Linked DNA regions of Oreochromis niloticus. The protein of the gene in region 3 purifies or fractionates together with the protein of the main gene of each other region. This does not show direct contact. Links are inferred from orthologs where the notes say so. Each region holds a gene or a part of one and is shown on either strand. Other genes may lie near its edges.

The links.
Region 1: the proteins of cbx3a (region 3) and histone-lysine N-methyltransferase SUV39H1 purify together in Homo sapiens (affinity purification with mass spectrometry; 3 studies listed by BioGRID and IntAct, with this or other methods). This does not show direct contact. The link is inferred for Oreochromis niloticus from reciprocal best matches to the Homo sapiens genes CBX3 and SUV39H1.
Region 2: the proteins of cbx3a (region 3) and adnp2b purify together in Homo sapiens (affinity purification with mass spectrometry; 3 studies listed by BioGRID and IntAct, with this or other methods). This does not show direct contact. The link is inferred for Oreochromis niloticus from reciprocal best matches to the Homo sapiens genes CBX3 and ADNP2.

Annotation. Positions count from the first base shown.
Region 1 is NC_031984.2:36,834,761-36,842,874, reverse strand, and holds the start of histone-lysine N-methyltransferase SUV39H1, read left to right. Parts: upstream 1-3,920; 5' UTR 3,921-4,006; coding exon 4,007-4,025; intron 4,026-4,722; coding exon 4,723-4,868; intron 4,869-6,951; coding exon 6,952-7,611; intron 7,612-8,114. Other genes in the region: si:dkey-16n15.6 (organic solute transporter subunit alpha), read left to right, coding at 1-176, 685-1,124. UniProt on the Homo sapiens protein: Histone methyltransferase that specifically trimethylates 'Lys-9' of histone H3 using monomethylated H3 'Lys-9' as substrate. Also weakly methylates histone H1 (in vitro).
Region 2 is NC_031985.2:21,369,880-21,377,993, forward strand, and holds the start of adnp2b (activity-dependent neuroprotector homeobox protein 2b), read right to left. Parts: upstream 4,615-8,114; 5' UTR 4,323-4,614; intron 3,505-4,322; 5' UTR 3,490-3,504; coding exon 3,382-3,489; intron 3,181-3,381; exon of another isoform or gene 2,771-3,180; intron 2,465-2,770; exon of another isoform or gene 2,424-2,464; intron 2,326-2,423; exon of another isoform or gene 1,916-2,325; intron 1-1,915. UniProt on the Homo sapiens protein: May be involved in transcriptional regulation. May play a role in neuronal function; perhaps involved in protection of brain tissues from oxidative stress. May be involved in erythroid differentiation.
Region 3 is NC_031985.2:25,231,593-25,239,706, reverse strand, and holds cbx3a (chromobox protein homolog 3a), read right to left. Parts: upstream 5,142-8,114; 5' UTR 4,985-5,141; intron 4,370-4,984; exon of another isoform or gene 4,346-4,369; intron 4,211-4,345; 5' UTR 4,203-4,210; coding exon 4,057-4,202; intron 3,837-4,056; coding exon 3,680-3,836; intron 3,311-3,679; coding exon 3,216-3,310; intron 2,420-3,215; coding exon 2,293-2,419; 3' UTR 1,288-2,292; downstream 1-1,287. Other genes in the region: nfe2l3 (nuclear factor erythroid 2-related factor 3), read right to left, coding at 7,768-8,114.

The DNA.
Region 1 (8,114 bases), on a different chromosome or scaffold from region 3:
ATTGTTTTACAAAGCAACAAAGAGTGCGTTACATGGCTATGGACTGAGAGCCAAGTTCATCTGTATCATCCTGGTGCTGGTCCTGTGTGGCCTGCAGAGTGGCATCTTAGAGACTATGGGGGCTCTGGAGGTTATCCCCTGCACACCACCTTTTTCTGTCTTGGCCCGGTCTCAGTGTAAGTGACAGCACATCTGGACTCCTCCAGTCTTTTGCCTCCCAATCTGGTTTTCCTAAAATAATTCTGCGGTTATTCTTGAAATGATCGGTCACAACATTTTTCAAAAAAATCTATCTTGAAAAGTATTAGATTTTATTTTCGCAGGGTACACCCTGGACAGATCACCAGCATGCAGAACAAGTCTTACACTAACTTGATGTGTCCTTGGCTGAGACAGAATTCTAGTGCAACTGTGCTTTGAGTTCTCATTAATACTAGATAAGCGCTCAATAATCTGATGTGAGCAAATAATAAGATTTAAGACTATAAACCGGAAATCCTTTCATCACTTTGCTAGAACTAAAGTTAGATTTCTTTGAGTTTGGTTATATTATTACATCGGCTATAGTTTTGAATGAAAACTCACACTGCCTCACAAAGATGGAAGTACTGTTGTTTCACCCAAAGCACTCTACACTGCCTGTTAAAATCAGTCCTGTATTGTGCGTTTCATTTCCAATCTTAGTGATCTACCACTACAGTGTGATTGTGGAGATGTTTTGCATTGGCCTGTATGCCCGCCACACATTCCGTAAGGTGGAGCCGAGTGAAATGGAGACGGAGGAGCTGCTTGATGTATGGAGAATGGAAAAGGCTGTCCAAACGGAAGAAATTCAGGCGATGCATCACAAAGCCAGCGTGCTATCAGAGGAGGCTCGGCCTGGTGGATGTCTCATCAACGCCTCCTATAGTCCCAGTTACAACAGTGACAGCGAAGACAGCCTGTGCAGGATAGAGCATGCACCTCTGGATGGTTTCCACTTTCCTCAGGCGAACGGTCAGCACTCAAAGAGTTCAGAGACAGTGGAGCCCAGGTGTGTGGATGAGCCCGGCGTAGCTCTGACACACATTACTGTCAGGGCTGATGTAAATGACCAGGATTCGAAAGATGTCACTGTGGTTTGACCAGTGGGATAGAAAACTTCATAAGATTAAGCTTGACTGCTGAAGATGCTAAAACTAGCCAGGAAAGGGCACTTTGAGCAAAATATACTGCTAAACACTTCAATTATACATCAGATCCTGATGAGCAAAATATCCAATTTAAACTTTGCTGAAGAATGTAACAAGTGACATAACATCAGTCAGTGGAAACCGAAATCATTAAGCCCTTGAGGGCTGGATTCAAGATCAGGTGAAAAATAAAAAAAATATTCCCTTAATTTGATGATATTTTGCAACATATTATTGGATATTCACAGCAAATATTCCGACTATTCTTTAAACATTGCGCCTCACCCCAAACTGCTCTCAAATGGTTATGAAGTGCTAGTTTTACCTTACGCACACTTTGCACTGCCCTTCCTTTTGTTCTACACATAACATTTTGATCATTTTAGTCATTTTTGGCTTTGCATGCTTATTCTGTTTCTGCAGTACTGTCTAAGCATGATACCAAGTAGTTTGCAGCTTTTTCCAATTTCTTGAATAATGGTTACTGGCAAACAGTTCGTAGGTACATTACCACCACACTGCATTACTAATGCATAACATCCTACCAGCCTAAACAGCCACATCAACTATTTACTTGAAGTTCATGACTACTGGAAAGTGATGACCATCCCTAGTACTGGCTTGGGTGTTTGTGGGATTGACCAATAAGACAAAAACTTACACATATAATTATCTCATTTAGGATAATTAGGAGACTGTGCAGAGATACTCATCTCATTTTAAATGTGGTCCAGAAACTTCTTATTCATGTGTTTTAGGTTTGGACTAACCAGGCTGGCTTTTAAAGGTCGCCAAAGATTATGTGCTTCTAAAAATCTTTAATATATATATTTTGTTCTCTCTATTGTTCTTATTATTACTACATATTATTACACTGTTGTACTTATTAATCCCATGCGTACTAATTGTTGTGACCTGAGGAAAATGAATGAAATAAATATAATGTTACAACATAATTGAAGCATTTTAAAGCACTTCAAACCCGTGCTCTTTAGAACTGTGTTTATATGTAGAGATTTGTTGCTTTTGTTTTTTATCTTTAATAAACTGAGTCTCTGAGTCTATAATTAAATGTGACATGTAGGATGATATACGTATAAATGTATGATATAGATAACCACAATAAAGCCCTGTCTAAATTCAATTCAAACTATCAACAAATTTAATATTTTTCTGTGGAAATAATTTGGTACATCAGGAGCTAGTAATGTACCAGTAAGTAGATGCACATTCTTGGAGGTGTGTATAGCTGTTCACCAGCTCGGGTACTTCTGTTTTCCTAACTTCAACTTGACCTCTAGAACCATCTTTAGCAGGAATAATTGGAAGTAATGGTTTTCTGTGCAACGTCATCAGTCTCTCACGTAATTGTGGAGGATCCTTGATTCACTCTTATTTATAGTGTTCCTTCAGTTAATTGAGGTTTGCAGCACTCTTTTATGCATAGCTCTCTGAACACCCCAGTGCACTCCAGTCAGGCTAAGGCCTGGACTTTGACTGGGCCAGCGCAAGACCAATTCTTTGCTGCTGTGCTCAGGATGATTGGGCTTCATCCACCCACAAATCTGTGTGTAAACAAGTGTGCACAAATACACCTCAGTTGTGTGATTCACCAGTTTTCTTAGCTGTCCTTGTTGACACTATATGAACAAATTTTCAGTTGTTGTGGACCATAATTATGAACACTGTTTGTGGGCTAGCTAAAGGTCCTGCTGCTGTATTTCACAGGAAGAGAAAAGAAAGAGAGCTAACTTGACTCAGAGATGGAGAAAGATGAGAAAGACAGGACAGGAGAGGAAGAGAAGAAGTAAGATTTGAAGGCAAGGACTGTTTAGTGGTGTTTGATATACTGTAAATGTAAGTCCTTGTGTTTTTAAATCAGATTGGGTCTCTACGTTGGGTCTTATTATGGATTTTCATAATGTAAAATGTGCTGCAAAACAAACTAGGGTAGATTAACTGTGTTATGTAAAGGCTGATTAAAAATACTGAGTTAGGTTACATAAAAGCTAGCAGAGGTGAATTTGAAGTTAAACTGAGGATACGCATTCACTGAATTCCACCAACTGTATATTGTCTAGTATGAAAAGAGCATAAACAGAATACTGTCAGTGTTGAATAAGGAAGTCAGCCAGGGCAACTCATGAAACATCTGCTGACATCTGGTTGAATTCAGCTGTTTACATCCACAAAGAGCAGCAGGACAATTGATCACAGCCTTTACACTAAGAACATCTACTGGACATCTCCATAGAAATTTTTGTTAGTTAGGATTCTTTTCTTTCTCAATTTATTTTCATTCTTTTTCTCTGCTCATATTCTACTTAACTGATTCAAGCTGAGTGCATTTATTAGAAATAAAATTTAGACTGAAATAAAGTTATATTCCCATCTACTGATATGATTACATTATTACATTAATATAGCACAGGGTTCAGCTTTGCATAAAAATTGGTGGTAGAAACGTTTTCCAAGGATCTACTTTTACTTTCTTACTTAAAGTACATTTCAGAGCATGTACTTTTTCGCTTTTACTTGAATAAATAAGTTGAATCGGTACTTCAACTTTCACTGGAGTATTTTTCAACACTTAAGTACAGAATGTCTGGACCGGAGAGGAGAAAAAGGACATCAGCTGGCAGACTCACTCAAATGGGAATCCATTGTACTGGCTGTATCTGTTGTCTTCCGGCCTGCCCGCCGGACTACTTCTCTAAGCCAATCAGAACGCTCACAGAAGGGCGCTCATCCAATTAGCTTCCGCTACGATCTCTGTGTCGTAAGGCCTTTCGGACCAATGTAGCTCATCCTATTTTGGCGGCTGTGTGGAAAACATGGCGGAAAATTTGAAAGGTAATACATAAGGACTGTTATTTCATTTAATTTTACACTATCTAGTTAATATGTGCGGTTACCTGGTTGTGTCTATATCATTTAAATAGCTCGAATATGCACATTTCTCTTCCTTCGCATTCACGCAGTTTTAACTTAAGCGCGGCGCTTTTACATCGCTGTTATTCTGTGAAGCCTATAGTTCGAAGTACGTCTGCAGTTTAATAAAAGCGGTCTTTTTGTCCAAATAGTTGACTTGAGAACTCAGTAACTTGGATTAAGCTCTTGGTGGAGCTTTCTGTGTATTCCAGGTAGCAGACCTTAGCCGCTGTGTTGAAGTGAGCGGAGGAGTTAGCGGGCTCGGTGCTCGGTAGCGCTGAGCTTGAGGCGCCATGTAGCGCTTCGGGAATGTTTAAATGGCACATTGTGCGTCTTTGGACGAACGTGGATGCAACTCTTTAAAAGGGTTCTAGTTTCGGACCCCTGTACCGGCATGACGTTTGATCTAAAACCAACGCTCACACAGCTATGCCTTGGCTGTCCATTTGCACGAATGCACAAAGCCCAGCAGTAAACTGTGTGTGCTGTCGTCAGATTAAAAATGAATTTTTCCTTACTTTCCACTGTCAGAAAAAGAGTCAAAAGTAACGAAAATGAGTCCAGAAAGAGCAGCGTGATCCGGCTGGGCACTGTCAGTTAAAGGTGTGTGGTGTGTTAGATTGCAGCGTGCCCTGCAAGATGTCCTGGGATGAGCTGGAAGCCATGTGTCGAATGGAGAAACTCCAGTGTCAAGAGCTTGGAGTTAGCAGAGCCAACGTCAATGAATACGAGGTTGAATTCCTATGTGACTACAAGAAGACTAAGGTATGATATCGACTAAGGTATGACGTGGATTGTTGGCAACTGAGACTCTTGTTAGTGTGAAGTTAGGGAAGGTTCATTGGTTTCTTTTCAAAGAAAATAAATTCCTAGTAAATATTTTGGCTGTATTTTTAATTAAATCAGCTGGACAGGGCATGCATTCACTGTTAGACATCACACAGACATGTTTGAAATGAGTTTTATTACAAGTGCTAAAAATACAAAATATTTTTCATTCGTCTACTTTATAGTGAAACATTCTGCTAGTGTGTATTCATTGTACTGTGGGATGGATAATAGTCCTTTTTCCTCTTTGCTCCACTTTGAAGGCAAACGGTCTAACCTGACATTAGAGGAAAGAAGATGTTATAATGCAGCAAGTGCTGCATAACAAACATTGTTCCTAACAGTACAAGCTAGATACTGTGAGACAGTGTAACTTTGGACTGCAACAAACCATGTACTATGGTGGAAATTCCTTAAATAATTTATCTATAATTTATAAGTAATCATGTTATTATTTAGTTTGTATTTAATGTGCTCATATACACTATCTTGCATATGTACAATATTACTTATGTTTCTCACTTCCTATCCATATTTGTTAAGTATGCACGCATATGCGTCTGTACGAGCTGGATCTTACATTCCTGACTCAGAACAGATTACGGTGTTTCTAGAAGAAAACCTTTCAGTATATGTGGTGGAAGTTTTGCACAGGCACAATTGGATTTGAGGTGGCACTCATTTAGTCTTCTCCAAATAGTTAGAATCAATGTAATCTCAGCTAAAACATTCAACTCGATATGCTCATGGTTTCATTGTGCCTTACCTGACTTTTTAATGTTGTTTTGTCTTGGATTTTTTTTCTGTAAAGCATTTTATGATTCCTGATTGTGAAAAGCACTATATAAATAGAGTACTGTGCAAAAACTCTGGAGCCACCCCTCATTTTCGTATATTTTGGGAGGAAAATGGGAAATGTGTGTAGTTATTTATTAAAATGTGTTCTAACATATGAGATTGAATGATGAGACTGAAATTCAACATTTGGTATGACCACCTTTATTATTTAACACAGCCTGAACTCTCTGAGGCAGCTGTCTGTAATGTCTTTAAGTATTTTCAGGAATAGTGCTCCAGTCTTTTTGAAGTACATTCAAGGCTCTTCTTTCGATGTTCCTGCCTTTTGTTCTGTTATTTGTCAGAATGATCTCACAGTGCTCCAATAATTCTAAGGTCAACCCATGACCTATAGTTCAATTTTCTAACCAGGTATGCTGTTACTGTGTTGGCAGTGTGTTTGGGATCATCCTCAGGTGGTATTGCATAGTGAGTTAAAATCTAAAGTACTCTCACTGTTGGAGCTCTCCTCACCTCTGAACCAAAAATGTCACATTTCCTGTCATCACACTGTCAGTCTGTAATTTGGTATACCTCGGCCTCTTCTCCCTTATTCTTTTTATTTATTTATTTTTAAAGCACATGCCTTTCACATAATGAAAAACTATCTACTATAGATAGTTTTTTTTTTTTTTTTAGGGCTGATACTTCCTGTTTAATCTCCTTGTGTCCAGTTTCCTCAAACAAGGATGCTGCACATCATGCTGAGAGTTGCCAGGTTTTCAGCTAATAGCTCTTTGACCTTGTTGCTAATAGCTATTAAATTGTCTAATGCCTGTCAAACTGTGTTACCTTTGGGATTTTTCCATAGAATCAACTCAAGAAATGGAAAATGCCTTTCTGTAACAGGGTGCCTCTGAAGGGAATATTTGGGTATAAGGACTGAAAATGAATGAAAAGTCAGCCGTGTCCACAGAAAGACAAACACCTTCAGAAAACTGGAGAGCTACTGCTCAAGAGCACTTTAAAAAAAATTACAAAAAACTCTGGCTGGTTGGGAGAAAAATGAAAAAGAAATATGAGGGGTGCTTCCAGACTTTTGGACATGATGTAAATATTGTGCGTTTGCTGTGTGGAGATTGAGAACATCTGTTGCCCTTGGTAGGCATGGTAACAGAATAAATGAAGTTTAGGCTGAACCACTATTTGCCCCCCAAAACTGACATTATTGTGTGTGTTTCAGGAAGAGGAGTTGTACCTTGTAAAATGGAAAGGCTTTCCAGAATCAGATAACACTTGGGAACCCAAGAGGAACCTAAAATGTCCCAAACTGATGAAGCAGTTCCATCTCGACTTGGATCAGGAGCTGAGGCGCCACAAGCGACGTTGCATCCCAAAAAAGCTAGATAAAGAAGTTTCCTCATTTCTGCTCCAAAAAGCCAAACTCCGCCAGAGTCTGCAGCGCTGGGAAGACCATCTGAATCATACTCGCAATCATCCAGGGCGCATTTTTGTCATGAACGAAGTGGACCTAGAGGGTCCTCCGAAAAACTTTACCTATATCAACAACTATAAAGTAGGTCAGGGCATTGTGTTAGATGAGATGGCAGTGGGTTGTGAGTGCAAAAACTGTTTAGAGGAGCCAGTGAATGGCTGTTGCCCTGGGGCTTCCCTCCAACGCATGGCCTACAACGACAGAGGACAGGTCCGGATTCGGCCTGGACAGCCAATATATGAGTGCAACTCCCGCTGCAGCTGTGGGCCTGACTGTCCCAACAGAGTTGTGCAGAATGGAATCCAGTTCGATCTGTGTATCTTTAAAACGGAGAATGGCCGGGGATGGGGAGTCCGCACACTGCAGCACATCAAGAGGAACACATTTGTCATGGAGTACATTGGGGAGGTGAGACCTGTTCAGTCATTTTTTTTTTTAAAGTGCCATATCATGCTTCACTGTGAAGTGTAGAGCATGACAAAAGCAGCCAGCAGCTGCTTGATGATTTGACAGATGTGATACATTAATTGAATCGGTTTAAAGTTTAATGATACACGTGACAGCACTTTTGTCTGGTAACTTACAGCTAGAAAGCAAATGAAAAGAAAGGTGTGGTGCACTAATATAGAATTTGAACACTACTAGTATCTTTTCATACTAAGAAAATGCCCAAAGGGTTATGCTTACAAATGTGAAATTGTGTATGTGCACACACACATACATACACAGAGTTCATGTCCTTGTGGGGACATCTAAGGCTACGTTCACACTGCAGGTCTTAATGCTCAATTCCGATTTTTTTGATCAAATCCGATTTTTTTTGTCTGCTTGTTCACACTATAAATAAAATGTGACAGCAAACGCGCTCTAGTGTGAACCCTCAAAGCGGCCCGCATGCGCAAAAGAAGACG
Region 2 (8,114 bases), about 3.9 Mb from region 3:
CTCTGCAGTGGGTGACATTTCTAGAGCGCAGGCAGGCCATTTTAGCTCCTGAACCCATACTGCAGAGTCATGCTTTTGGAATATATACCTAATGTAGGTTGGCATCATCTTAGTGAAATAAGCAAGAACTTCTCTGAAAAATGCTGTAACCCAAACCTTCTGTACTGTCTGCCGTTTGTTTTGGCTCTCTGATGAGCAACAAGGTCAGCCTAGTTGCGTGTTGATAGTATTTCCTTATTTGAAGAGGATATGAAACTATAGCTGTAACGTATGTGTCCCCACTGAAGTGGTGTTCTGTAACTGATAAATCTACATTTTAACATATTATTAATTCAAACAAATTTCCACAAAACTGGAAACAAAATAACAACTGATCAAATTCTTGATCACTTGCAAACATGTTGGTTTTCTGCACATCTTTGTGAAGTATATAGACTTGCATATTGTACATTCAGATTTTCCAAAGTAGAACCGCAATACCAATGTGGGCACATTCGAGACAACAAGCTGGGCGTACTAGCTAAAGCTGGGACTATATTTTCTGCAACTGTAAGTCCGCTCGGGTCCCACTCACGTAAATTTAGTGTGAGGGTCTGTGTGGATGTCTGCACGCCTGGCTGTTTTCTGCAACCTCACTGAATTTACATTGCAATGCACGAACTATGCATGCTCGCCAAACTTTCTGCAAATCTGATGTCTGCTTAAACCCACAAATCATTGTTTACCGAAGCTGTATCACACATAAAAATGTGCACATCACTCTCAGTTTAAAGAAACTCTCACAAACTCTGCTGATGTGCATTGTGTGATGTGAAATGTGAATGCTGCAAGAATTTATAACAAGTGAAGGAGGTGCTATGACACACAATCAGCAGATGCCTAGACTTCTTTTGGTCTGAAAAATCCTGAGTCACGTTCAGAGACATCAGGACAACATAAGACTGAGATTCAGACTAGGGCTGCCACGATTAGTCGACGAGTCACGATAGTCGACGACTAATTTAATAGTCGACACGTCGTTTGAAGCTTTGTAAGATCGCAAAACACGCAGGAATAAGTAGTAGGATTTAAGAGTGTAATAACGGACTGAAACAGAAGATGGCAGCACTGCATGCACAAGGATGCCAGCTGCCGTTAAACCCCGAAGAAGAAGAAACTGTCCCAGAATTCATAGCGCGACCCATCGCGGCCCTGCTCAGTTTCCAACAATGGCGGCAGCTAGTTAGTTTTAATGTTACTCTTATTATTCTTTCTGGGTCACAAAATAAACGTTTAATATATTTTCAGGCGGGAATGTAGCTGTGTAAACTTAAAATATCTGCTCAGTTTATCAAGACATCACATATTTTCAAAAGCGCTCCGACGTTTTCGGAGATGTCTGTTACCCACTAGCTCGATAGCTAGCTGGTGTTGGAAGCCTCACTAGAGCCGGTGAGAACATCGGACTCCCGGCAAATCGTTTTCAAACCCACCGCCATCTTTCGCTACTCAGATTAAACATGATATATAAGTCACTTAGATAACTTAAAAATGTTATTGTTTGGCTTTTTTCAGTATTTTATTTGTTCCTGAGTAAATCGGTTTGGCTGAGATGAAAGTTATAGTTTTTACACAGCTGAATAAACCACGACTGATTATCAGAAGTGTGAGATGCTCGAGAATATACTCCGGTGTCCTGTTATATTTTAGATAGCAAGGAGCAGACGGCTGCGTTTATTAAACTCCTCCGAAACAATCTGCAAATTTCATTTAAATTCAATAAACTATCATCTTGTCTTTATTTTTAGTTAGCACATACCTTAAACACTTAAAGCTGGAAGATAATGATAGTTATATAAGAGCAGATGCATGCTGGTGCAATAAGCTGTATGTTTTACGTTCAATGGATGCATGATCTGATTAGTCAACTAATCGCAAAAATAATCGGTGACTAGTCGACTATCAAAATAGTCGTTTGTGGCAGCCCTAATTCAGACACATGGTAGATCTAGACTTTAACAGCTGTATTGTTTCAGAGATGTCAGTATATTATGTAAGTATTATCCATCACTGACAGAGAACGAAAATAAACAAAATATGTGAAAGTGGAATTTGAGAGCTGTGTGCACACAAAGTGTGCTCTATCGTGTGGACCAATCTCTGTGCACCAACTACTGTTTATTATCTGTTTGTATCGTGTGTGTGTGTGTGTGTGAGAGATGTAATGAGCAACAACAGAGCCTGTCCCACCAACACTCCACCTTAACTTTCATTAAAATATCGACAACAGAAAAACGCAGGATTCAGCTCTCAACATTCGGAGGTGACGAGCTTCACACAGCAGAGGTCGGCAACACTTACCATCAAAAGAAACATTTTTGACCCTCCCTACAAATATCAGCATCGCTACGTGCTTGTTCATTTTGTTTTTCTCGTTTTGCTAGTTTCTCATCCAGATCAAGCATACCGAATCTGCTCATACAGTGTAAGAGTCTCCAATTTCCTCTTAAACTTTTCCTCTTTTGGGTTGGAGTCCATAACAAACAGTGGGAGGGACTCTGAACCCATTTATTTGTCTACATCCATGCCAGCTGCTGCTTTTTAGGTCCAGCAAAATTTAAGGTGGTTGTAGGTTTTGATTTAACTGATTCAATTTTTTGTTTTTTAAAGGCAGAACATTTTTACAACTGGAAAATGTAAAACATTACTCACAAATACAAGGACTAAAAATGAAAAATAACTACTCCATAATAAAGTCATTTTTTTCTCCTCTCTCTTTCTTTTGTCTTAGCTGCAGGGAGCGGGAGCCACACGTTTGCCAGCCTCGGCCCAAAGCCTTGGCAGGGCACTAACAGCTGTGAGCCGCCCCCCTGTGGTTCTGGCATTTCTAATAAATCAATGAGTGAAGAAAATTCACTGAGCACTCTGTCCTCTCTGATCCCGGGCCTCCTTAGGGCAACTATCGCAGCCACAACCAGCGCAAAACCCTTAAGACACCACATTTTTACAACAATGTAGATGATGAAACACCCAAATGCTGCGGTTTTTACACTGAGGACCACTATTCTTTTTGAAGAGACTTCTTCTTATACCCAGCCATGTTGCTGAACGGTCACCAATTAAACTAATTAGGTGTGTTATGTTGCACCAGCATTACATAACCTGTCCCCTGCTTCCTGGATGTGTTACTCACATTAAATTCAAAATGAGCCTTTTTTAAGACAATCCAAAAATCTCAGTTTCATTTTTATGTTATTTTTAAACAAACATGGGCTAACGCGTGTCTGAAAATCAGCACGTTCTGCTTTCTTTCTACTTGACTTGCTGTTACTAGAGCAGAACAGAGTAAACAACACTCAGGCCGAGAGAGCTGTCAGATTATTCTCCACGACAGAAACATACCTTCAGCAGGTTCTGACAGTCTTCCAGGCCGATCTCACTCAAGATGCTCTTCACTGCCTTCCTCGCTTTGCGAATCTTTTCGATACTTCCAACCGGGACCTGATACATGATTCCTCACAAGCCCTTATAAAGGAAAAATAAGTTTTCAACTGGTTACAAAGCATTCGTGCTCTTCTATTAATTATAAAATAATTATCAAAATATGCTTTTATTGCATTTATAGTGCAAACATACATCATGATATTTCCCAGCCTACAAAATTACCATTGTTTTTCCACTTGTAGCATCAATAAATTAGTAAAAATATTTTCTGTAGCCCCCAAAACAAGTGAATAGTATGGTGAAAAGGTGAAAATGGCACACACTGGGCAGAATAACAAAGGTTAGCTGAGGTCAGGTAATGTATGCAGTATTACATCAATAATTTATAACCCTATTATGCCAATAAATAAAACACATAAACCGTAAATGAAGATGGAATAATGTACCGGGTAATAATGATGTAGTTAAATAATTCACTGCAGCATAGTGACAACCTGCCTGCATTTAGTACTGATTGATGAGAATCACAGCATGGCTGAATATGGGTATAATGTCTGCACAGGCTCTGTGGTAACACAAATAAAAGCCATAACAGTGAGTGTGCATCAGCTGATATCACTCTCAGCATTTGTGCAAAAACACCAGCCGTTCGCCGGTGAGCACTAAAAAACAAGTTATTTTTAGTCAGTTAAAAGTGCGAGATTTAGATCACCTGTAAACTAAAAAGCCTGTCCCCCTCGCACATGCCATCCATGCTAACACTACAATGTGTCTGCTGGCCGCACTCAAGTCCTAAAAAAGCCCGGGGAGGCACGTTGACAGCAACAAGCCGGTGACTAAGACCGCGAGGGCGCATCCGCCTACTCGAGGATGCCCACAGCCTCCTCGCACATATTTACCTCGTCCAATTTTCAGCGTAGATTAACGTTAGTTGTCGCTGTGCCACCACCGACAGAGCTAAGGGTTTCCTACTTCCACCGGCCCGCAACTGTGTGTGTCAGTGAGCTGCGTCTACAGGCGGTGCTGCGCGCAGACGCTCCCCCGAGCGGCATTCGCTGTCCGTGCACACCGCTCTGCGAACACCCTGCTTAAATATGAAACGTGATGTTTGCGAACCCACTCCGGAGACAAGTTATTTTTTTTCTTTTTTGGTTCAGCTTTTGTCCCTTTCTTCCCCCCTATTGAGGAAAAAAATGGCGCTCAAGTTCAGGATCTGACGTAGCTGCCTCATTTGCATACAGCACAAACTGACCAATGGGAGAGCTCGCCTGCTAAAACCTGAATAACTTTTTATTCTCTCACTGGGACCCTCAGCCCGGCTCCCGGTTGCCCAGATGACGCACTCTGTGGTTCACTTTCTGAATTTCATGCCACATCTGACCGGGTGAGCCCATATTTCCCATTCCCATCTAATAGCTAGGTAGGGGGGCGTGGCTCCTGCGACCCCCACCCCCCACAGCGGCAAGTCACGTGATACACGACCAAGCCCAACCAATGAGGTGTCGAGAAAATGAGCTAAATGGGTGGTCCTTGGCGTGTGATGTCATATCATGCTACTTTCTGTACCCAATTACTTTGAGCCACCATTTTGATTGAGGGAGAAAGCGAAATGAGTAGGTTAGATGTCTTTAGGCTAGCAAAAGATTAAGTGTTAGGATTTTTTATTGTGTTTTACAGTTACAACATGACAAAATGGCTAGTTACCATCATGTGGTCATTTTTACCAACTGCGAAACCTTGTTACATATATTTTATACGTAGTTGTAGCTAACTGTAAAAGTCGATCAGAGCAATTTCCAGGTTAACAATGTTACCTTCACCTTTTCCCGCCTACAGGTAATTCAAGCACAGCTTGAGCGCTGCGTTAACCACCTATCTGACTGTCGCCTGCGCGCTAACCTTAACAATCAAGGTTAACTTGGCAAAAACTGGATAAAATATATATATTTTATCCAGTTTTTGGATAAGCAAATCAATAATCCCTTCAACAGTCTCTTCTTTGTAATGACCTGATAACCAACACTTGCACTGCCTGATTTATGCTCACACCCAAGTCAGACACTGCAAACAGAATGGACACACGAAGTGCCATATTTACACATATGATGGCTGTACTGCAGTATGTATCTCTAAGGCTAACAGCTAAGTTAGATTAGCATTGTCTCCAACAAAAAGTTAGCGAAGACAAAGATTTATTTATTTTTTTTCTTTGCGATTTCCTTTGCTCATACCAACACAAGGGTGTTCACTTTAGACCAATTAGCAATGGTCCAATCAGACTCGATTTGTGCAGTCAAAGAGTGGATGATGTGGATCGCTCAAGCATGTAATTTCAGATCGATCGAGTGTGTGGTAACCTTGAATTTAAGCTATTTTTCTCTACACTGCTGTGTTTATGTTCCCCCTCCAGACTATTCAGGTGCAATTATTTACTTTTTATTACAATCAGAACCACTATCATCAAGCACAATGTCCAATTCATCAATACACACTCCAAACACAATGGAAAGCACTCTGCGTGATCCTTCTGCTGATCTATTCATCTTTTAATCCAATTAAAATGCAAGCAACACTTCTCTAATGAACACTTGAGGCACATGAGACACTTGATAGGAGCTGTAATGATCCCCGTTAGACAAATACATCCCTCAGATTAACTCGATTCTGACGTGCAACGCCAAGGAAATAATTCAGCAGCTTTAATTCACCCTGAAGTGTATTTATTCTGAGGAAATAACTTTGCATACAAACACATCAATCTTTCCTTCGCGCCCCAGTGCTGCTTATGGTCTGCACTTAAAACATCTTTCTTATTATCTGTAATTATCAAAATTACACCTTGTTTTGTATATTGTCATTCATGGATCTTACTGGAAGCTTCAGAGAACACTCACAGGTCTGAGCTGGGTGTCTCATTCACTGACAGGGCATGCAAGGTAATTTACACACAGTGAGGGCAGGGCTTTATCCATTTTATCCAGTGTACTCTCAGCGCAGCTGTGGCCGCACTGGCATCCTGATCTGAAGGATCAGCTCTTAATTTGATCTAAGTGCTGAAAATGAACCACACTGCTTGAACACATACGCAAATATTGCAATGTATGGTGGAAACACAACACTGTACAGGTTGAACTCAACTGTATTCAACTGTAATTGAAGTGTTTAGGATGAAATCCCGCAAGCGGGTCAGTTTTCATTATAACAGGACCCACAGCAGCAGCTGATTAAAAGCTCCTTTCTGTCTAAAGATGCAATGCAGTGTGATAAACTGCTGGAGTGCTTCTAGTGGACAGCCAGCAAATGGTTATTACCATTCCCCTCAAATATATTTGCACTGTCAGTTTAGTGCTGAAAAGATAGCACTTCTATAGCACTTCTGCAATGGGAAAGCTAGGATCCATAGCTAACTTCGGTAGACCTAAATTACTCTACCAGCATACTATTAGGATATGCAGACCACTAAAAATATGAATAAAACTGTTAATACTAGTAGGACAAAGTCTAACTAAGCATGGTCCATGAGTATTAACAGCCAAAATGTTAGCTTTTTCCCTTTTTGAGTGCCTTTTAACTGATGCAGAGGTCCAATGACATCATCCCATTTTAACTTGGTAAATACTGCAAAACTAATAGTTAAACTATTTTAACCTAAATCTTAATTAACAAACTGAAATAACACCAGGGCAAAAACTAACCAAAAAAGTAATAAAGTATTTGATCAACACAAGCAAGAGAAGGCTTGGATTGAGACGTATGAATATTCGCAACTTCCCACATCTTGCATTGGACAAATAGTCCACATATTTTTTTTAGCTTAAAAAAAACAAAAACAAAACTTTACTCTTTAAACACCAATAACTAAAAAAAATAAATAAATGTAAGAACAATAATGCTGGTTGGTGCAGCACATTCTTGGCTGTTTAAAACATCAACCTATTTCAGTTTTTAGTTCAAGTCTACTTTTGTTAACTAGCATTAGTTTTTAGTTAACTTTATTCACCACAAGATTCATGTTAGGTGTTTTTAGTTTTTACAGAGTTAAAATGAGGTGATGTCACTAGATCTGTGAATCAGTTAAAGACCATGTTAGTCTATAACTAGGCTGTTATAGTAGTATTAAGTTTTCTTCAGATTTAAAGAGTCTATATATCCAAGTAAAGTCATTGTCTTCAAAATAATCCTAGCTGTGGGATGCAGCAAATTGCTAAAGCTCGAAATTATGCTGGCCTACAGGAACAATGTTATTCTGAACACAATTATTTCCAGCCCCTCCACCCACCAATGCCAAAAACCACACAAACACCAGATGAAAGGATTTCAGTCAGAAATGTATATTAAATTAATCACTTATTACTTTAACGAGCACAATGTACAGTCAAAAAACAGGCTATGGTCCATTAGTGCCTTAGACAAGCAAATTAATACATTAGTCACTCGTGACACACAGGGGCGAGAGTCGATAAAAACCGATGCTTCAGGTCATCTTTAACATGAGTGAACATGTAGCTGTAGAGGAGACTGTGCAGGAAGTCCCTCGACTTCAGAGGCATGAAAGATCTGTCGTGTTATTTAGCATTTGCACTGCCCCAGAGAGGTCTGTGTACAACTAGCATCTCTCACTTTAAAGATACAGACATGTACATCCATATCTGACAAATACAAATCATATGTGTTTGAGCATGTTTCAAAAG
Region 3 (8,114 bases):
TGAAGACCAAGAGATCTTACCAAAGCCAGTTGGCGTCTATCCCTCTGACCAGTCCAAGAGTGGATCAAGAAGCTAGTGAGACATGACCTTAGGTTGGATGGTAATTTGCATATAGAGATCTCTTTATCTTGTGTCAACAGAGACTTTCATTTGCTTTTAGAGACTGTTACAAAACAGCACCATTTTCTATCCGATTTCTACATAATTTTATGGCCAATTAAGCGAAATTCAGAGTTGACAAAAGCTGACCCCAGAAACGTGAAATATACACAGACCAAGATTTATTGGGGGCGATCGTGGCTCAAGAGTTTGGAGTTCGCCTTGTAATCGGAAGGTTACCGGTTACCGGTTCGAGCCCCAGCTTGGACAGTCTCGGTCGTTGTGTCCTTGGGCAAGACACTTCACCCGTTGCCTACTGGTGGTGGTCAGAGGGCCCGGTGGCGCCAGTGTCCGGCAGCCTCGCCTCTGTCAGTGCGCCCCAGGGTGGCCGTGGCTACAACGTAGCTTGCCATCACCAGTGTGTGAATGGGTGAATGACTGGATATGTAAAGCGCTTCGGGGTCCTTAGGGACCATAAAGGCGCTATATAAATACAGGCCATTTACCATTTATATGTGTTTGTGTTTTTTAAATTGCTGCACTGACATTTTCTTTCCATTATTATAGCTGTATGTCTATAGTGAAATGATTCAAGCACTTAACAGATAAGACATGACTGTGTTGCTGTGATTAGATATTTGATTTAATCAAGATGTCAATTTTTTTTTTTTTTTTAAAAGCTAAACACTTATGAGGAAATGAGAATAACAGGTCATTTTCCATCCCTGCATCCTTTCTGCAAGCTTCCCACTACTCTTTAGCTTTTACAGAACATAAACGCACCTTTTTAGAGAAAATGGCTGTTTGATATCACATTTGTAGGTGAACTTTCATGCCACAGTTGTGTTTTCCTGGTAGGACTAAAGGCTGGATATCTATCATGACCTTGTCCAAATCACTTCATTTCAAAGAAACTTGAGTGATTTCCCACAGAAATCAGTAATGCACAAAGGTTCACTGTCTATCTCCCATGCCGTCATGCAGTCTTGCATTTAGAGTGAAACCATGGGACAACCAAAGCACTGCAGCATGAAGACAAAACTGTAAAAAACTTCACCCAAGAAACATTAGGAACATAAGGAAATCCTAATTGTTAACTTTGTTTCATATGCAACTCTCTGCGCATTACTGCCAGTAAAGTCTGTATTTGTAGTCGAACCCATAAAAACTAAAAGAAAAAAAAAAAAATCTGGCATAAAACCTTTATTAGAACGACAAACAATATTTAAAGACAGTATACAAAAAGTATTTATGGAACAAAACATCACTACAGTAGAAAACATGAGCAAGAAGGTGGCAGAGTGAGAGAAGCATTTTGGTATTTAAAACATTTAAACAAAGATGAAGGTGGAAGTGGCTTTAATCAACCGTCCTTTTTCAGCTGTGCACTCGCTTCCATGAATCTGGCTGCATCTCAGTGTGTTGACTTCATGTCTAAATGAGCACCTAAACTAAACCAAGTATTAGTAACGACATGCACTGGATTACAACTGTACTTGTATCTTGTGAATCTCTGAGTTGCAAAGCTCACTAGTTAATGCCCTAAACTGCAATATTATGCATGACATTTAGTCTTAACTTTAGCTATTCACTTTAAATACAGTTTCATTTCTCTATGAAGCATTTTTACAATTCACACTCCAGAAGGAAGTGCACAGCTCTGAGCGACACACAGTGAGATCCTGTGCTGTTAATGAAAAGGGGTGAGAAAACAAATCAAAACTGTAGTTACACCTCACCCACAAACAAGTCTTCTGAATGTATGGTTGAATTGTGCATACTACAGAGCTCTCCTTCACTATCTTGAATACATTTAAATGAAGCCATTAGGAACATAAGCGTTATCCATGTCGGAATAACAGATTGCTGAGCAGACTGCTGAACCCAACATTGTTGTACATCTCGTGTCTGAAAAGGGGCTAAAGAGATCAATCATTCACAACAATACAGGAAGGCTTCCTTCTTTCCTTCGTAATCAAAAACACCCTCACCTGTTCTCACAATCGGCTAAGCTTATATTTACAACAGAACTCTCCACGACTGCCATGCAAATGTTGAAACTTCTTCCAAAACAAAAAACAACAACAAAAAGACTAATTTAGCTAGACCTAGAAGGCAAGTCAGGAGAAATCCAGTCCTGAGGAAAAGGTTGACGATGTTGATGTAGGCAACTGCATGGGTTGCAGAGAAGAACTACTGGGCTTCATCCTCTGGACAGGAATGCCAGGTCAGTCTCTCCTCATAAAAGGATATGACCACCTGAGGACAGCGGGTGTTGGCCTCACGGGCTGGGACCAAATCTGCCTCATCCGAGTCTTTCCTAAAAGAAGGCAGATTGAGAGAGAGGAACATTATAGAAAGCCAGCATAAGTTAATGTACTTGAAATCAACTAAGTTTATAAGTTGAGAAAAGTTTACAGCAGGAACAGACTAGACAGTGGCAGTTTCATAACTGTGGCTCTGTACACCATGTAGCAAAATCTAAGCAGTGAAAAGCAACTGAAGTGTAGACACTGAGATTCAAGTTCAAGGGTTTAAGAAAAAAAATTTAGTGAAACAAAGGAAGTTCCCGATTTTTAAGACCTCAAATGCAAACAACAACTTAAATATAAATAAATTTAAAAAAAAAAAACAAAAAAAAACAAAACACAACCCTCTTGCAGGAAACAACTGAAGCCTTGGACATCAGTTGCTGACTGGTGTGTATCCAACAGGGAGAAAGACTTTTTTTCTCCCCTTCCACAAATAAAATGCATGGTTATCCAAGTAATTCCACTCAGTTACACTTCCTTCACTTTAAACTTTCTTTGATTGGTATTACAGTATTTCAGGATAATTATTTGTACTGTGAAGGATCCATTAATCATAGCACTCAATACTTTTGAATTCGCTGGCCGTCTATCTTCGTAGCATAAAACACCAGTGACTCACTGTATACCATGCACATCCGTCCTATGAATTACACTGCCTTCACAGTAACTAGATTAACAAAACATTACTGCGCTAAGGTCTTGAACTAACACTCATTTCATTATATTTTGCTTCCAAGGACACAGATTTCCAACCATCCAAAGAAAGGGCTTTACAACATCTAGAAAATATTTTTAAAAATGTACCATTTCATCAAGAACATCAACTCCCCACTACTGTCTGTTGCGCCAATGATTCGCTCAGGTTCGAGGTTCCTAGCAAAGCCACGTGGTTTCTCAGCCTGTAGGTGGTTACAACAGAGAATGTAGCCATATAAGATAGGAAAGACAAAACAACACATTTTGATTCATTTAAAATCCTTGCATATTCTAGCATAAGTTCAGAAGCAGCTGCATTTCAAGAGTATAATGCACAGTTAAATGTCTATGTACAAATCCAGCTGAGCACAAATATGATTATATGTATTATGTATGTATATACCTATGTATGTATTATGTATATAATACATTCATTTATAATAATGCTCTTTTTTGTTTAAGTTATGCAAACTTTTCTCTGAATGGCCCCCGTGTTAAGCTTTGCTGTCCTAAATTGAAATTGTCTTTAGGACATGCTAATTGCAGAAACGTGTGAAAGCAAAGAAATTCACCACATCTTTCTTCTTAGGTTCTGTCTCTGGCTCTTCCGTGGAGGCCTTCCTCTTAACAGGCGCAGGTTTCTCCTTAACGTTCTTCTGAGCCTCCAAAAATGCTGAAATCAGCTCAGGGCAATCCAGGTTCTCCTCTGGTTCCCAAGTATTATCAGCACTAAATGAGCAGAAAGAGAGTCAACATTTGCATTGCACCAATTCACACTGATTTCCATTTTAAAAAAAAAAATGCAAATACTAGCATCAGCTAGCTTGCTTGAATAAAGGTACCGTCGTCATGCAACCACAATGACTTCAAACAAAAGTATAGCACAACCCCATACCAGGGAAGCACTTCCAGCTCAGCAGGAGGGGGGCAGGAGTCCCAGCCAACTCACTCTGTAAATCCTTTCCACTTGAGGTAGAATTCTACTTTCCCATTCACAACACGCTGGTCCAGCACTTTTTCCACAACGAATTCTTCAGGTTCCTCCTGTGTTTCCTGTGTATCCTTCTTACTCTTGGTATTCTGCTTCTTTCCCATTTTGTGATCTAAAAACACAAACAAAAAACGGAATTCGATAAGAGTTTGATATTAACAAATCCTTCACATTCATGTGCTCCTGATATCCACATTTAGGATTGGCCATAGGCCCTAAAGCCGCTGTTCTGGCAAATCCATCCTACCTGGCAAACCACACCGCCACAGACACCTGGATCGTAAACGAATTTAAGTGTGAGGACTGTTATTTGCCCATTAGGGTAATAAAATTAGGCAACCTTGACAAAGGGACGACCACCAACGGGAAGTAAAACACAGCATTAGCTAGCTTAGCGATAAACTCTTAAAGTATTCAAAGATACCCAAATTCTTATAACGTTAGCTCGCATGCTAACTTTAGCTGGCCTTTAACCGTTAGGGAAACCCTACTTCACTTTTATCGTGTCACCTGCAATGCGGAGGGACTTAAAATAGGTGAGCTGGCACAAAAAAAGCGTGCGGGTAATGTTAACGTAACTTGCGCTAACAACAACGTACTCAACTTCAACGCGACACTCGACGTTTTACAAACGGATAAATAATGTTAAGTTCTAGGATACAACTACAGCATAACGAGGAACAGACACTGTTACTTTCGCTTGCCTGTTGACGTTAAAGTACTGCAACTGTAGTCAACAGATCGTTTCTCTCTCATTCGAAACAGCGTCCAAATGGTAAAACAACTGGTTAGCATATACTGCTATTTCGCTACAGTGAACCAATTAACTCTGACACCTCTGTTAATGATAACCCTTTTTGAAACAAGTCGGTATCTGCATACATACCCTAAAACAAGAGAATCGCTTCAACGGCACTTCTTTTCCACGCGGTCAGTTGATTCTTTATGTCTACAAGAGTGTGGCTGAACAGCACGGGCGCCAAAAGCTACTGACGCGCATACTTACGCGCATACTTGTGCGCATACTTGTGCACCATCTACGGAAGCCCGGTTGGAAAACGCTTTTCGCTCCCCAAAACCTGTAGATAATGAAGCCTAGAACTTTACATCAGGGATATCGAAGTCATTTTGGATCGTGGGCCACATGCAGCCAGTTTTGTTTACAAGTGGGCCGGACCAGTGTAAAGAGGTTTAATTACACGTTTAATATCCGCAAAATCTTAATATAAGAAAAAGAAGTGCAATTTCAACAGTATATCTCAGTTATTTTTGCATGATAAAGAAATGAAGCTGTATTAAATAGGAGAACTCAGTCAGCACGACTCTTTGGGCTTAGATTGTAGGAAATGCATGTGTAGTTAAGGTTGCTCGTTGCCCAGACTGTCCTGTAACTATAAAATAGAAAGGTTTTGTGTATTGATAATACTGTATCCTTATTTATTTATTTACTGTGAACCCACTGCAGAAATCAGAAACGTTTCTGTCATTTAAGTATTTTTGAAATCTAATATTACCTATGACTTACTCAAATTGGTGTGAATGTTGATGGGAGTAGGATTTTTATCATTAGGAAAAGCTGTAAAACACATGGAAATACAGTTAAAAAGTCCAAAATGTGTACCATCCTTTACATTTTAAAAAGCTGTCCAGTGGCTCAGATTGCATCCTTTGCCAGGCCAATTTTGCCCCTTGGCCTTATGTTTGACATCCCTGATCTAAATTCTATTGATGTTTTAAGACTGCATTTTCTTTCCATAATATGTTCCTATATGTTGATTTTAAAATCAAGGCCATTCAAAAGTATTTCAAAAGATTTATTTTTTATTTTAAAAAGTCTGCAGGAGCAACTCAAGTTCTGTAAGCAAATGCACACTTTGAAAAATCACAATGGAATCAAACACATTTAACTTCAGAAACAAAGCAAATATTTACGAAAATGAAATTCATACAAACAGCAAAGAAAAGGTTCAAACCAAACAAAAAAATACAAACAAAGGAAAAAAAAACTGAAAGCCACATAAACTACTTCATGGACTTTTCTCAATTTCACTCACTCAGCTGACTCTACTGCGCAGCATAACCAGGAACAGGATGGCAATCCCTATTAATACTTCAACTGTCAAATAATCTTATACATATAAAAAGGAGGCATCCAAACAACATTCAAACTTCTTAAATATGAATCAGTAATTTATTATTTAGGGTTTTTTAGCAGTTTGTTTAATTTGGGTGACTTTGATAATGAAGGATTTTTATTAAACAAGTGCACTTTAGGGAATTTCAGATTTTAGCCAGAAAAAAAAAACTAAACTGGGGCCTGAGAATCTAAAAATATCTCACAAGTACTTGTAAAGAAAGGAAGTTCAGTCAACTTGTTCTTCAGATTAATCATTGTTCAAATACTTTATGCATCTTTCTTCAGTTTACTCACTCAGGTGACTACTTGAAAGTGTGTACACATAAATAAGATGCGGACTTTTAATTCCACTTGATTCTACTCTCAGATAATAAATATTAAAAAAAACACAAACACACACATTCAAACAGCATTCAGACCTCTTAAATAAAGTTGGTGATTGTATTTTTCCTGTTTCAGAAATTGAATCTTTTATGTGTGATTATGGTCACATTTATAATGGAATCGTAGTTATCGAGTGCACTTCAAACGACAAAAAAAATAAAGAAAAAAAGCGGGGTGGGAGCTTTTTTTTTTTTAATGTAGCCAAAATTAACAAAGACTAAGCTGTGAGGTAGAATAATCTTGCCAAAAACTCTAAAACACTTCAAATGAAAGGGGTTAAATTATAGTTGAATTCTTATGTAAGAACTTTTTTGTTATGGATATATGCACTTATGTATGATGTACACACATATTTACCAAAACACATCAAATGCAAATTAAGGCCAAGTCCTTTGAGTCATTGGTATACTGCACGTCATCAAGACATGTAAGCAAAAGATATCTATTTCATTTTTTTTAATTTCAGTTTAATTTTTTTACTCAAACAGTGCATGCCCTCAAATACTGGGAACAAATCAGTAAACTTTGGACTTGTAATAACCCAATATTCTTATCACTCTGACCAAAGGTTACCATTTTGGGAGAGGGAAAAAAAAACATCCTTAACAGTTCTATAAGCATTTCAGGGACCTAAGAAAGTTTAATAAATACAATCCTTTAACCTCATTCTTATACCAAGTAGGAAAACACTAAAGGCAAGATTACAGGTAAATCCTCCTCTTAGATCTCTATCCTGTCTGTAAATATCACAATCCTGGCCAAGTTGACTTTTAGACATGTGTGATTGCCAACAATTTTCTGTAAAAATGAGAAAGACTATGACTTTAATGTTAACAGGCACAAAGAGACTGCTGGCATTACCAACAGCTTAGCTGTTCCCTTAAACTACCCCATCGGCCACATCCACCTATAACAAGAAGAGAATGTCCAGTGTGTGATCTACATTTTTCCCATCAAATAATGTATTTACATTTTTTTTTTTCATTTACTTATTTTTTGAGTGTCTTTTCTTTTTGAATTTAGGTTCTCAACAGTGGTGAATCAACACACACTTTTGCAAAAGAGGAGACCCTAAAACCAGAGTCAGGCAATTAGGTTCCGCAATATCCCAAAACCGAAAAGGTCAAGTCTCAGCAGGAAATGCTGCATTATTGCTTTTTTTCCTTCTTTCTCTTGTCTGTTTTGTTGCCAGATGTGGAGACAGCAGGTCGTCTTACAGGCTGAACTACAACCCTCCCGTTAGCCCCGCACTGCAGGGTGAATCTGTCTGGGTTCAGGGGTGTTCCTGATTCATCCCTCAGCCGGGACAGGATGTCTCTGGTCAGCTGCCTTATCTGATGGCCCACAGCACCCATTGTTTTTGCTGTAAGGTGCTTCTCCCTCAGCAGTTTGTCTCTTTGAACTTGCAGCCTTTCCACCTCCTCCTGGAGCCCAGTGATGGCATCTAATTTGCGCTTGCGGCAGTTTTGGGCTGCCAGCTTATTCTTACCACGCC